Linked DNA regions of Caenorhabditis elegans. The protein of the gene in region 2 interacts with the protein of the main gene of each other region in a biochemical or structural test. Each region holds a gene or a part of one and is shown on either strand. Other genes may lie near its edges. The genes, in order: cdc-48.1 and atx-3.

Region 1 (6,010 bases), on a different chromosome or scaffold from region 2:
TCTCTGTCTCGCAGGCACCGTATTCAAAAGTGCATGCCGTTCAGTTGTGAAAAGACTGTTTTTTTGTGTCTCACGAGAAGAAATACGACTAAAGTAATGGAAAATAAATAGTAGAAATGCGACTTTCAGGCATGAAAAACCAATTTTTCTAGAAAAAAAAAACAAAAGCACTGTAGTGTGAATTTGTTCGTGACGGTGTTTCTTACAAAAATGTGCATATTTGCGGCAAATTTTGTGTTTTCAGATATTTTTAAGAATTTGAAAACTATTGGCACTTATCAGTTACTATCAATATTAATATCTGATCTAAAAGATTCATGTGACAGACAACGAGGACAAGGAATTTTTGAAAATTGGCCAGAAACGAGTTCAACAAGCTTGAAGATAAGCAACTATAGTACTCAATTCGGCATTTTCTTTGTTAAAAACCTCATGACTATGTACGAAATGCGTGCACTCCTATGAGTGTGGAGACAATATCGATGGAAAATGATATCAATGAATGAAAAAGCACTTCTACTTTCCAAAAGATCAAGAACAACTGGATCGCTAAATAGGTTTGATGATTGATATTAAAACCTGGTCCAAAAAATTACGTTAAACTTAGGCAACTTATCTTAAATACAGCTTCCCATTATCAACGGAACAACCAGTCATTGGTCATGAGACAATTCCACCTACACAATCACAAATAATAGTTTGAATATGGCAACACAATCGTACACAATTATGATTACAGACATCGTACATTTATATGTCAAAAACGGCAATACATACAAAACATTGGGAGGGATGCAAAAAAATAAATGGGATATACTTTTTGATCAACTGGGATGTAGGTATCTACAAATTTTTTCTTCTCGCGAAGATCATCCGTAACCATTAATTTCTAAAGCGAAAACATGGGCTCAATTACAATAAATAGTGGTAAATCGGGGGTTGGAAAGGGGTGAAATACGAGGTGAAAAAGTGGGTATGGGAGAAAATAAAACGAGTATCATACATAGACTCAGTAGATAAACTCAATACATTAGTTATAAAGGTCGTCATCATCCTGAGCAGGTACAGGGGCAGATGGGGCATCGCTTCCGCGTTGTTCTCCTGGGAATTTGAAGTTGTTTCCAAAGCCACGAGATTGTTGCAATGTTTGTGCAAACATTTCGTACCTACAAACATATTTTATAGACATACAATAAAACCATTATCAAAACTCACTTTCTGATGTCATTGTCTGTAACAGAGCGTCTGGCAAACTTCATGGCTTCCTCGAAGTGAGCACGAGTAATTTCTGGTACTGGATCAACTGCATCGTCTTCCATGAGCTCCTCACCGCGAGCTTGGCGATCTTGACGTTCCTTCTCAATCCGAATTTCCTTTTCGATCGATTCGCGAATAGCCAGCTTACACGCTCTGAAAATGTCATCGTTCACACCAGGAAAAATAGAATATCGGGGCCTTAGCGCGACTTTAGATACTCTAACTATTATAATTTACTGTGAGACGATTTTTTATATAGCACAAATATGACACTCGCGTAACCATGAACACAAAACTTGGCAGAATCTGAACTGCAAAACGCAGCTAAGAAGAGCCAAGAATGTGTAGATTTCGCAAGTTCTTAAGTTGTGCGTTTTGAACAAATTTTCAAATAATTAAATTACTCACCTCTGACAAATTTCGGTCAAATCGGCTCCAGAGAATCCAACAGTGTTTTTGGCCAAGAAGGTCAAGTCAAGATCCTTGGAGAGTGGGGTTTTACGAAGAGAAGCTTTCAAAATTTGGTGCCGAGAAGCTTCGTCTGGGAGTGGGATGTAGATAAGCTGATCAAGGCGACCTGGACGAAGAACAGCTGGATCAATGATATCAGGTCTGTTTGTAGCTCCGATGATGAACACATTTTTCTTCGCGTTCATTCCATCCATTTCGGTGAGCACTTGATTGATTACACGATCCGATGCACCTCCTCCATCACCGCCGGCGCCTCCACCTCTTGCCTTGGCAATCGAATCCAACTCATCGAAGAACAACACGCAAGGAGCAGCTGCACGAGCCTTGTCGAAGACATCACGGACGTTAGCTTCCGATTCTCCGAACCACATTGTGAGCAATTCTGGACCCTTGATGGAGATGAAATTGGCTTGACACTCGTTGGCAATTGCCTTGGCAAGAAGTGTCTTACCACATCCTGGTGGCCCATAGAACAAAACTCCTCTTGATGGCTGCATTCCAAACTTGAGATATTTTTCTGGGTGTTCCACTGGATACTGAACCAATTCTTGAAGTTCGCGCTTGACGTTTTGAAGACCTCCAATGTCGGACCAAGTTGTATTCGGAGTTTCGACAACAGCCTCGCGGAGAGCGGATGGGGAAGACTTTCCTTGAGCAAAACGGAAGTTTTCCATTGTGACAGCGAGTGAATTAAGAACCTCTGCATCAATTTGGTCATCTTCGAGATCAATGAGCTCCATCTTTTCACGAATCTGTTGAAGAGCGGCTTCCGAGCACAACGATGCCAAATCGGCACCAACGAATCCGTGACATTCATTTGCAATTTGTTCAAGATCAACATCATCCGCGAGCTTCATGTTTTTCGTGTGAATGCGCAGAATCTCAAGCCGGCCGACTGCATCTGGAATTCCGATATCGATTTCACGATCGAATCTTCCGAAGCGACGAAGAGCACCGTCAATCGAGTTTGGACGATTTGTTGCAGCAATGACCACAAGGTTAGAACGACCCTAAAATAATTATTATTATCGAATCATATAAAATTTAAAAGCATACCTTGACTCCATCCATAAGTGTAAGCAATTGAGAAACAATTCTGCGCTCAACTTCTCCATTGGTCTTCTCGCGTTTTGGTGCAATGGCGTCAATTTCGTCAATAAACAGAATAGCTGGTTGATTCTTCTCGCATTCTTCGAAAGCCTTACGAAGATTTGACTCGGATTCTCCAGACATCTTTGACATTACTTCAGGTCCGTTGATAAGGAAGAAGAAAGATCCGGTTTCATTAGCAACAGCACGTGCAATAAGAGTCTTTCCTGTGCCAGGTGGACCGAAGAGAAGAATTCCACGTGGTGGCTTGATACCAATAGCCTTGAAAAGTTGGGGATGTCGAAGTGGCAGTTCAACCATTTCCTTGATCTGAGCCAATTGCTTCCGAACTCCTCCCAAGTCATCATAACCAATATCATTCATGCTCTCTTCTTCTTCTTCTCTCTTGATCGGATCTCCTTCGTAGTGAATCATGGTATCAGGTGACACAATGCAGGCTGGAGCTGGCTCAGTTTCGACAACTTTGAATTCCACAGTTCTCATGGCAGCTTGAACAGTGAATATATCTCCCTTGTGAAGTGGGCGGTAAGCCTCCAGGAAGTATGGCTTGAGGAAAACATCGAACAAGTTTCCAGTGAGTCCTTCGATAGTGTCATCAATAGGGAGCACGTGAATGCGGGTTCCGTAACTGAGATTTGGAGCTGGCGTAATGCTCACGACGTCTCCGAGGCGAATACGAAGATTGTTGCGGACAACACGGTTCATGCGAACTTTCTCGTTTGGACAGGACTCATCAGAGACAATGATGGCGACAGATTCCTTTCGCTTCTTTCCCTGCAAAAATAATCATTAGAATCGAAAAATAAAATTTAATTGTGTGACAACCGTTTAAAAATCGAGATCAGCACCTTTGCGTGGTGTTAGGATTACGAAATACTTTGAAACGATTCGTTACTTGATCTATATCGCACAACTATGACACTCATAAAACCATCAGCAAATAAACAGTACTAGCTTCAAAACAGAACGTTTTTCAGCCTATATTGTAAATCACAGACATTACAAGTTCTTAAATTGTGCGTTTTAATCAAAAATTAAAAAGAAACACATACCTTCAGGATGACAGCATCTCCACGGAAAAGTCCCAGTTCGTCCATTTTAGCTTGGGAAACTGCGATGACGGAATTATCATCCTGCTCGGACTGATCGACGATCAAGCGATTCGGCTTTACCTTGTCCTTGAGAATAGCTGTCGACAGCTCATCATTTTTCTTCTCTTTTTCGCTTTGATGCGTTGGAACCGAGGCCATTATGTACAATTTAAGACCTAAAATAAGAAGAATGAGTGTCCAAAATGATAGTGGGAACGAAACTATAAAAGAAAATTGAGATTTTAAAAAAGTTCACGAAATTATTTCTAAAAACGACACAGATTTGAAAATTGTCATCATCCACGCATATAGAAGCGTGTTTTCAACAAGTGTACGCAAAAAGTGTTTGGTGATTCTGACGTTAGGGCGCGGTTGCTTTATAATTTTAGCGCGAAGTTTGAAAAGGATTTTCACTGTTCAAAAAATTTTAAAATTTCTAAATAACGAGACGTATTTGTAAATATTTGCGATGAAAAGCGTTGAAACTTCAAAAAAGTTCTTTGAAAACGGAAACGCAGTTTACAATTTTTTGAAATTTTTCGGAAAAAAGGAACTAGTAAATAAAATCTACCGTTTGCACGTTTGCGGTAATGTATGTAGCTGGGTCCAGGATGAAAATATGAAAAGGAAAAAAAGTGGACTGTAATGTAATGCTGGTTTGGAAAAATAACTGTTATTTGCAATAACGCACATCAGCGTTTGGGTCTCGAAACGATATGCCGTTAGTAAATGCAGCACTTTGTAGATCGATAAAAATGATTTGCAGCATCACCCGATCGATAGACGGAGAACGAAGAGATGTGAAACGAGACGAGAGGAGAATAGTCTTAAGATTTTGATTCTTGATAGTTTCCCAGATCTATGAATTTAATAAGTTGAATAATTTCCAAATTATTTATTCCCGATCGAGAATTAGAATAAATTAAACAAATAGATTAATGGATTAACATTTGCCATTGGATGGTCTTCTTTTGATTCCAAGAGCACGATTAGCTTCATCAATTTGAAGTTTTTGAAGGGAACGACGTTTACGACCTCCACCTCCACATCCACAGCATCCGCATCCGCAACCACATCCACAACAGCATGGTCTACAGCAGGTACAACATCTAGTACAGCAACAAGTTCTACAACAAGTACAACAACATTTGGGTCTACAACAGCAGCAGCATCTTGGTCTGCAACAGCAACATCCACATCCACCACCACCTCCTCCACATCCACAACATCCACAACATCCTCCATTTCTTTTAACACGAGAAGATCCGATAATTGATGTTTCAGATGAAATTATAGATATTTCTGTTGTTGATACTGGCAAAACTCCTGATTCAACCTATAAGTTTCTTAAATACGAGAACTAAATCTATTAATCTAACCTGTGAAATCGATACAATTGTATAAATCAGTACAACTAATGTAGATCCAATTATGAATTTGGTCATTTTGATCGAATAGAAACTGATGAATATCTCAATTTTATGGTGCTTTTATATAACTTTTCCATGATCCAAAGTGTCTTAGTTTTTGTGTTCAATTTCCATGACGCGGCTCGCGCGGAGAGATCACAAAAAATGGTTTCCGGCAAAAGTGTCAAATGAGAGACGACAAACACGTAAGAAGAAGAGGGTATTTAATGGATGGAAATTCGAAAACCATATCGAACGCTAATAATCTGAAATGAATAAGATCGTACTTCTGACTCTCTTTGCCCTTATTGCTATTTCACAGGTATCGGTAAAGGTTCTAAATGTTAGAAAACACAATACTATTATAGGTTGAATCAGGAGTTTTGCCAGTATCAACAACAGAAATATCTATAATTTCATCTGAAACATCAATTATCGGATCTTCTCGTGTTAAAAGAAATGGAGGATGTTGTGGATGTTGTGGATGTGGAGGAGGTGGTGGTGGATGTGGATGTTGCTGCTGCAGACCAAGATGCTGCTGCTGTTGTAGACCCAAATGTTGTTGTACTTGTTGTAGAACTTGTTGCTGTACTAGATGTTGTACCTGCTGTAGACCATGCTGTTGTGGATGTGGTTGCGGATGCGGATGCTGTGGATGTGGAGGTGGAGGCC
Region 2 (4,458 bases):
CAGAATCCCACCACGTACATGTTTACTGCAGACTTCTGCGACTTCCTTAACATGATTAAGTGTTGATGGTGGTGGAACGGGCGCTTTAACCGATACATTCGTCAGCAGCTGACACCAATGCATCATAAGCGAATCGATTGCGTCGCCCAGATAAGTTGGCTCGATCGGCTCTTCGTCATCCTCGTTCGTTGAGCCGGCTCCATCATTTCTCATTCGTCTTTCGTCGTTTTCAATGGATCCATCAGCGGCTCCTTGTGGAACACTATTCGAGTATTCGTCGTCTGGAAGATCCGGAGCATCGCCGAGAATATCGTCAATGTCCTCACCGCCGCCGCCGAATTCTGGAACTATTAGATTTTGTAAAATATTTTTATTATTTCGGCTCAAGGGTGCCATCAAATAATTTTTTAAAGTTTTTTTTTTCAGAGAAAATCGGGAAAAAATGATCAGAAAATTAACAAAAAAATTCAATTTTTATCAAATTTTGTATTAAAATAGCTTAAGATATTGCCATTTTCTTCTTTTGAGTAAAAAAACTGGGAAATCCTACTCCTCGTGGAGCACTAGCTTAAGCTCGAATTCGAAAAATTTCTTGAATTTTCAAAAATCACCATTCATTGGCATTTCCTGTTCTTCTCCGCCGTCCTCTGCATCCAATTCCTCGAACATTTTCAATCTAAAAAAAATGATTATTTTTTCCAAAAACTCTAAAATTGAAGGTAGTAATACTCATGGAATGCCAGAATAACTTTGAAAAGGGCAACAAAATTCAGAAAAAAAGGAGATTTCATCTAATTCTAAATAATATATCACATAGTCTGAAAGCGGTTCATACATAAGCACCAAGTATTTGGGGATACAAGTATCGGGAGAAATGAATAATCGAATTATACAGGAAAAGCCGAGAATATATTCACATAATAGAATTCAAATAATAAATTTACGATTAAATCGTTATTTTTCATCGTTCCTCTCTTCTTTCTTCTTTTCGAATCGCTCCAAAAACTTTTGTCGATCTCTGCGCTGTTGTTCGGCATTTGAAAAAGGTTCTGAAGCTCCTGGCGGCGTCGAAGATCGAGAACGAGTCAATAGCGGTATCTCAGCCGGTTCTGATGGTCCTGGAGCCTGGCTCAGCTCAATCGCCTTTCTGAGATTTTCTTCATCGATTTCAGCGGAACTTCGAGACACTTCAGAGCCATCCTTTGTTTCCATAGACATTGCAAAAGCTATCGCCAAATCTTTTTCTTCTTGAGAATCCGGAGGAGCACCGCTTCCACCGCCAAGTCGTTTTCCGACGGTATTGAAGAATTTTGTCATGACTTTCTCCAGCTTCTGCTCCTTTTTCGGTGTAACTTTTGGCGGTACAACTGGGCATAGCGAGATGAGATCGTCTGCATCGGATCTTGGCAAAACTCCCTGCACCACGAAGATTGAATAACCTGAAAATTGATAAATTAAAATAATTTTCGATTTTTGGAACTTTTTTTCAGAAAAAAAAATCAACGCTACAGCTTGTAGTTTAGGGATAAATAAAAATCTGGCTCTAATTATCAAAATTTAGCTTCAAAATTCATGAATTTATACCTTCCGACGACACTTGATGCAAGAACATGCTAACATAAGTGTCAGAGAGCAATTTGGGCCCACGGTTCACCGAATTCAGCTCGAACCATTGATTTCCGAATTTTCGGAGCACAAACCAGTGCTCTCTGAGGTTGCATATGTAAGCACGGGCGGTTCTGAATTGGAAATTATGAAATTTTTTTGTAAATTATATGGTAACTCGTACAAGGGATTATTTTTATAGTCCACCATCGCAGGATTTTCGATATTTGTGAGCTTGAGGCTAAATGTTTCAAGTGCTTTCTCCAAAACTTGAATTGAAAAGTAGCCGCTTTCGTTCATGTTCTCACTTCGTCCCGGAGTTGGGTTTGCCTGAAAAATCAAGAATTTCAATTAAAATTTTTTCGTATTTTCCATTACATTTCCCAGAATTTGTTGTTCCATTTTATCCATCTGAATGGCCAAGTCTCGGAGATCTTGCCACTTGTACAGAGCATCTTGTAGGAGCATATTCAGCGCGTGTTGAGCACAAAGAGCAGCTTCCTGGTGCTCGAAGAAGATGGAGTTGATCGGATCGTCTTTTGACATTTTTTGGAGCTGGAAAAATTTGGATTAGGGAAACGAATGGAGAAAATAAATAAAACACCTCAAATTTTGGAGAAGAAAACTTGGAAATAGTTTTATTTTTTCGATTTCACAATAATATTCCTCATGCTGAATGCCAAAATCGATATTTTTTGTAAGACGGATAGGTTTAAAAAAAAAATTGAGATTTTATAGGAAAATTCGCGAAGAATTGTTAACAAGCTGTTATTTTTCGAAAAAAACAACACGACTTCTAATGTTTTCCATGGAACTCCAGCACAAAACTGCAAAACCATCGGATATATTGTTAGAATTTTTACAGGATAAACTTATTTTAATAAAATTACGTCAATTTATAACTTGTTTTTCAACAAAAATAACCAATTTCGTTTGACAACCTACGAAAAATGTGAAATTTGATGAAATCGAAAAAAAAACGAAATTAAAAAACCTCAACGATGCTCCGAAATAACGACACCGCGTGTTGTTTATTCTACGTTTTATTGACTTTATTCAAAAGGTTTTCGAGAATTTCAGCTTGAAATAAGAATTTCGGTATGTTTTGGAGCTGAAAAAAGTCAAAGTATTCTGCAGAATATTGTTCTGAAATTGAAAAAGTCATAAAAATCGTATCGTAAATATAATAAGGCTTAAACACAACCTCGAAAAAATATACGACATTTTACAATGAAATCGAGAGAAATTGGCTAGTTTTATGCAAAATTCACAGAAGAAAATCAATAAATAAGTTAATAAATATGTCACATGAAATTAGAATTAGTTCTGGTTTTTCGGCGACTTCAAGTCTCCGTTTTCGTCGATTAATTGCATCTTCAATGCGCGAAATCTCGTCCAATACGTGACGTCATACCATTCTTTGATGTCGAGAACTTTTTGAACGCCTTGTAGCTTCAACGTCCATTCCACGGGGCTCTGTAACGATTTTTGATATAATTTTTGGTAAAAAATTGAGAAATAATTTATACAACGTGTCATTTTTTGTAGAAAATCTTCAATTTTAAATTTTTATATTACTTTAAAAGGAATTTCGAAGCCATCTTTCCGTCTCCGCTGAGCAATCGCCATCTGTCTTGCTGATGTGATTATTCGAAGTTTTGCCAAATCTGTGAGCCTTTCCAGCGCTTTTTCGTCGATTTCTAAGCCAAATAAATATGGAAATGAATGAAAAATTCAATTTTCTACCTTCAAATCCTGCAAATAGTGTCATTAATCGGATGCCAGCCTGCAAATCATTTTCGAACTTCTCCTTCTCGACTCGGCACTGCAAATTGACTGAAAAATATGTAAAAAATAGAAAAAAACTGTTGAAAAATAAATTCTTACTCTCTTTCTGCATGGCTCATCAAATTCCTCGGCTTTTCGTTTCTCAATCTTCGGAATTTTGAAGCTTTTCACATTTTTGAAGTATTTTTTCACATTTTCTGTTTCTTCTAAACTCCAATCGTCTCTTCGAAGCACGTCTTCCACGTACATTGTGGCGCCGAGAAGGTAGCGGGCCATTTTTTTTAGCTGAAATAAGTCATTTAAAGCGTAAAGAAGGAAATCTGGGGCAAAACGAACAAGTTGACAAGAAAATTCATCTATTTCCATTAAAAAAAATTTCGCTGAAGAAATTTGCCGACGTCACTCCAATGTTGCGCCGGAGCCTTGTTTAGCGTAAATCTACACAAGCAAATTTTAGCGGTTAATTCGAATATTAAACCTGAAATCTCTCGATTTGGGTAAAGAAAACAATATTTTCAACTGAAAACTGAAGTATAAGTTGAGTTTTTGGATAATTCAACCAGCATTATGAAACGAGAAACAAGAATATCAACAGAATATCACTTTTGTAAGTGAGAACCGGGGGAATGTTTAAATTTAAAAAAGGGAAAGCAATTAAAAATGTCGAAATAACTTCGGGAATTGAGAAATGTGCAAAGTAAGAAAACAACAAAAATTTATAGTCAAAGTACAGGGATTTGGAATTAAAAAAAATAAGGGAAACATACAGTTACTTCAAAGGCGCAAGCGTCATTGCAATTCGATGGGTCTCGTAGCGAATGGTTTATTTTTGCATCATTATTTTTTGCTGAATTTCGAAAATATTTTTATTTTATTTATTTTTAAAATTTTTTCATAAAATCTTCGTCTTTTGATAACGTTTGCGCCTTCAAAGTAACTTTAAACCGAAAAAAATGCAATAGGATATGTGATTTATGGTCTTTGAACTCGTTCGAAATTTTTCGAATTTTTCACCGAAACAATCATCGTCTTGAGCTTTTCCGCTACTCCTGGGCAAACTTCAAC

The links.
Region 1: the proteins of atx-3 (region 2) and cdc-48.1 form a complex in vitro, tested with the Caenorhabditis elegans proteins (one study listed by BioGRID).

The regions. Positions count from the first base shown.
Region 1 is NC_003280.10:10,559,303-10,565,312, forward strand, and holds cdc-48.1 (Transitional endoplasmic reticulum ATPase homolog 1), read right to left. Parts: upstream 4,106-6,010; 5' UTR 4,089-4,105; coding exon 3,891-4,088; intron 3,763-3,890; exon of another isoform or gene 3,650-3,762; intron 3,613-3,649; coding exon 2,785-3,612; intron 2,739-2,784; coding exon 1,666-2,738; intron 1,633-1,665; exon of another isoform or gene 1,415-1,632; intron 1,411-1,414; coding exon 1,216-1,410; intron 1,167-1,215; coding exon 1,031-1,166; 3' UTR 729-1,030; downstream 1-728. Other genes in the region: C06A1.6 (uncharacterized protein), read right to left, coding at 4,873-5,265, 5,309-5,374; C06A1.7 (uncharacterized protein), read left to right, coding at 5,610-5,660, 5,707-6,010. UniProt on the Caenorhabditis elegans protein: ATP-dependent chaperone which probably uses the energy provided by ATP hydrolysis to generate mechanical force to unfold substrate proteins, disassemble protein complexes, and disaggregate protein aggregates.
Region 2 is NC_003283.11:15,574,728-15,579,185, forward strand, and holds atx-3 (Ataxin-3 homolog), read right to left. Parts: upstream 2,717-4,458; 5' UTR 2,600-2,716; intron 2,161-2,599; 5' UTR 2,152-2,160; coding exon 1,984-2,151; intron 1,936-1,983; coding exon 1,790-1,935; intron 1,740-1,789; coding exon 1,585-1,739; intron 1,440-1,584; coding exon 955-1,439; 3' UTR 771-954; downstream 1-770. Other genes in the region: Coiled-coil domain-containing protein mdt-28, read right to left, coding at 19-347, 612-669; F28F8.9 (uncharacterized protein), read right to left, coding at 2,926-3,081, 3,184-3,305, 3,352-3,430, 3,493-3,678, 3,730-3,759; F28F8.7 (ELM2 domain-containing protein), read right to left, coding at 4,366-4,458. UniProt on the Caenorhabditis elegans protein: Acts as a chain editing deubiquitinating enzyme that binds and cleaves 'Lys-48'-linked polyubiquitin chains, with a preference for chains containing four or more ubiquitin molecules thereby modulating protein degradation by the ubiquitin-proteasome pathway.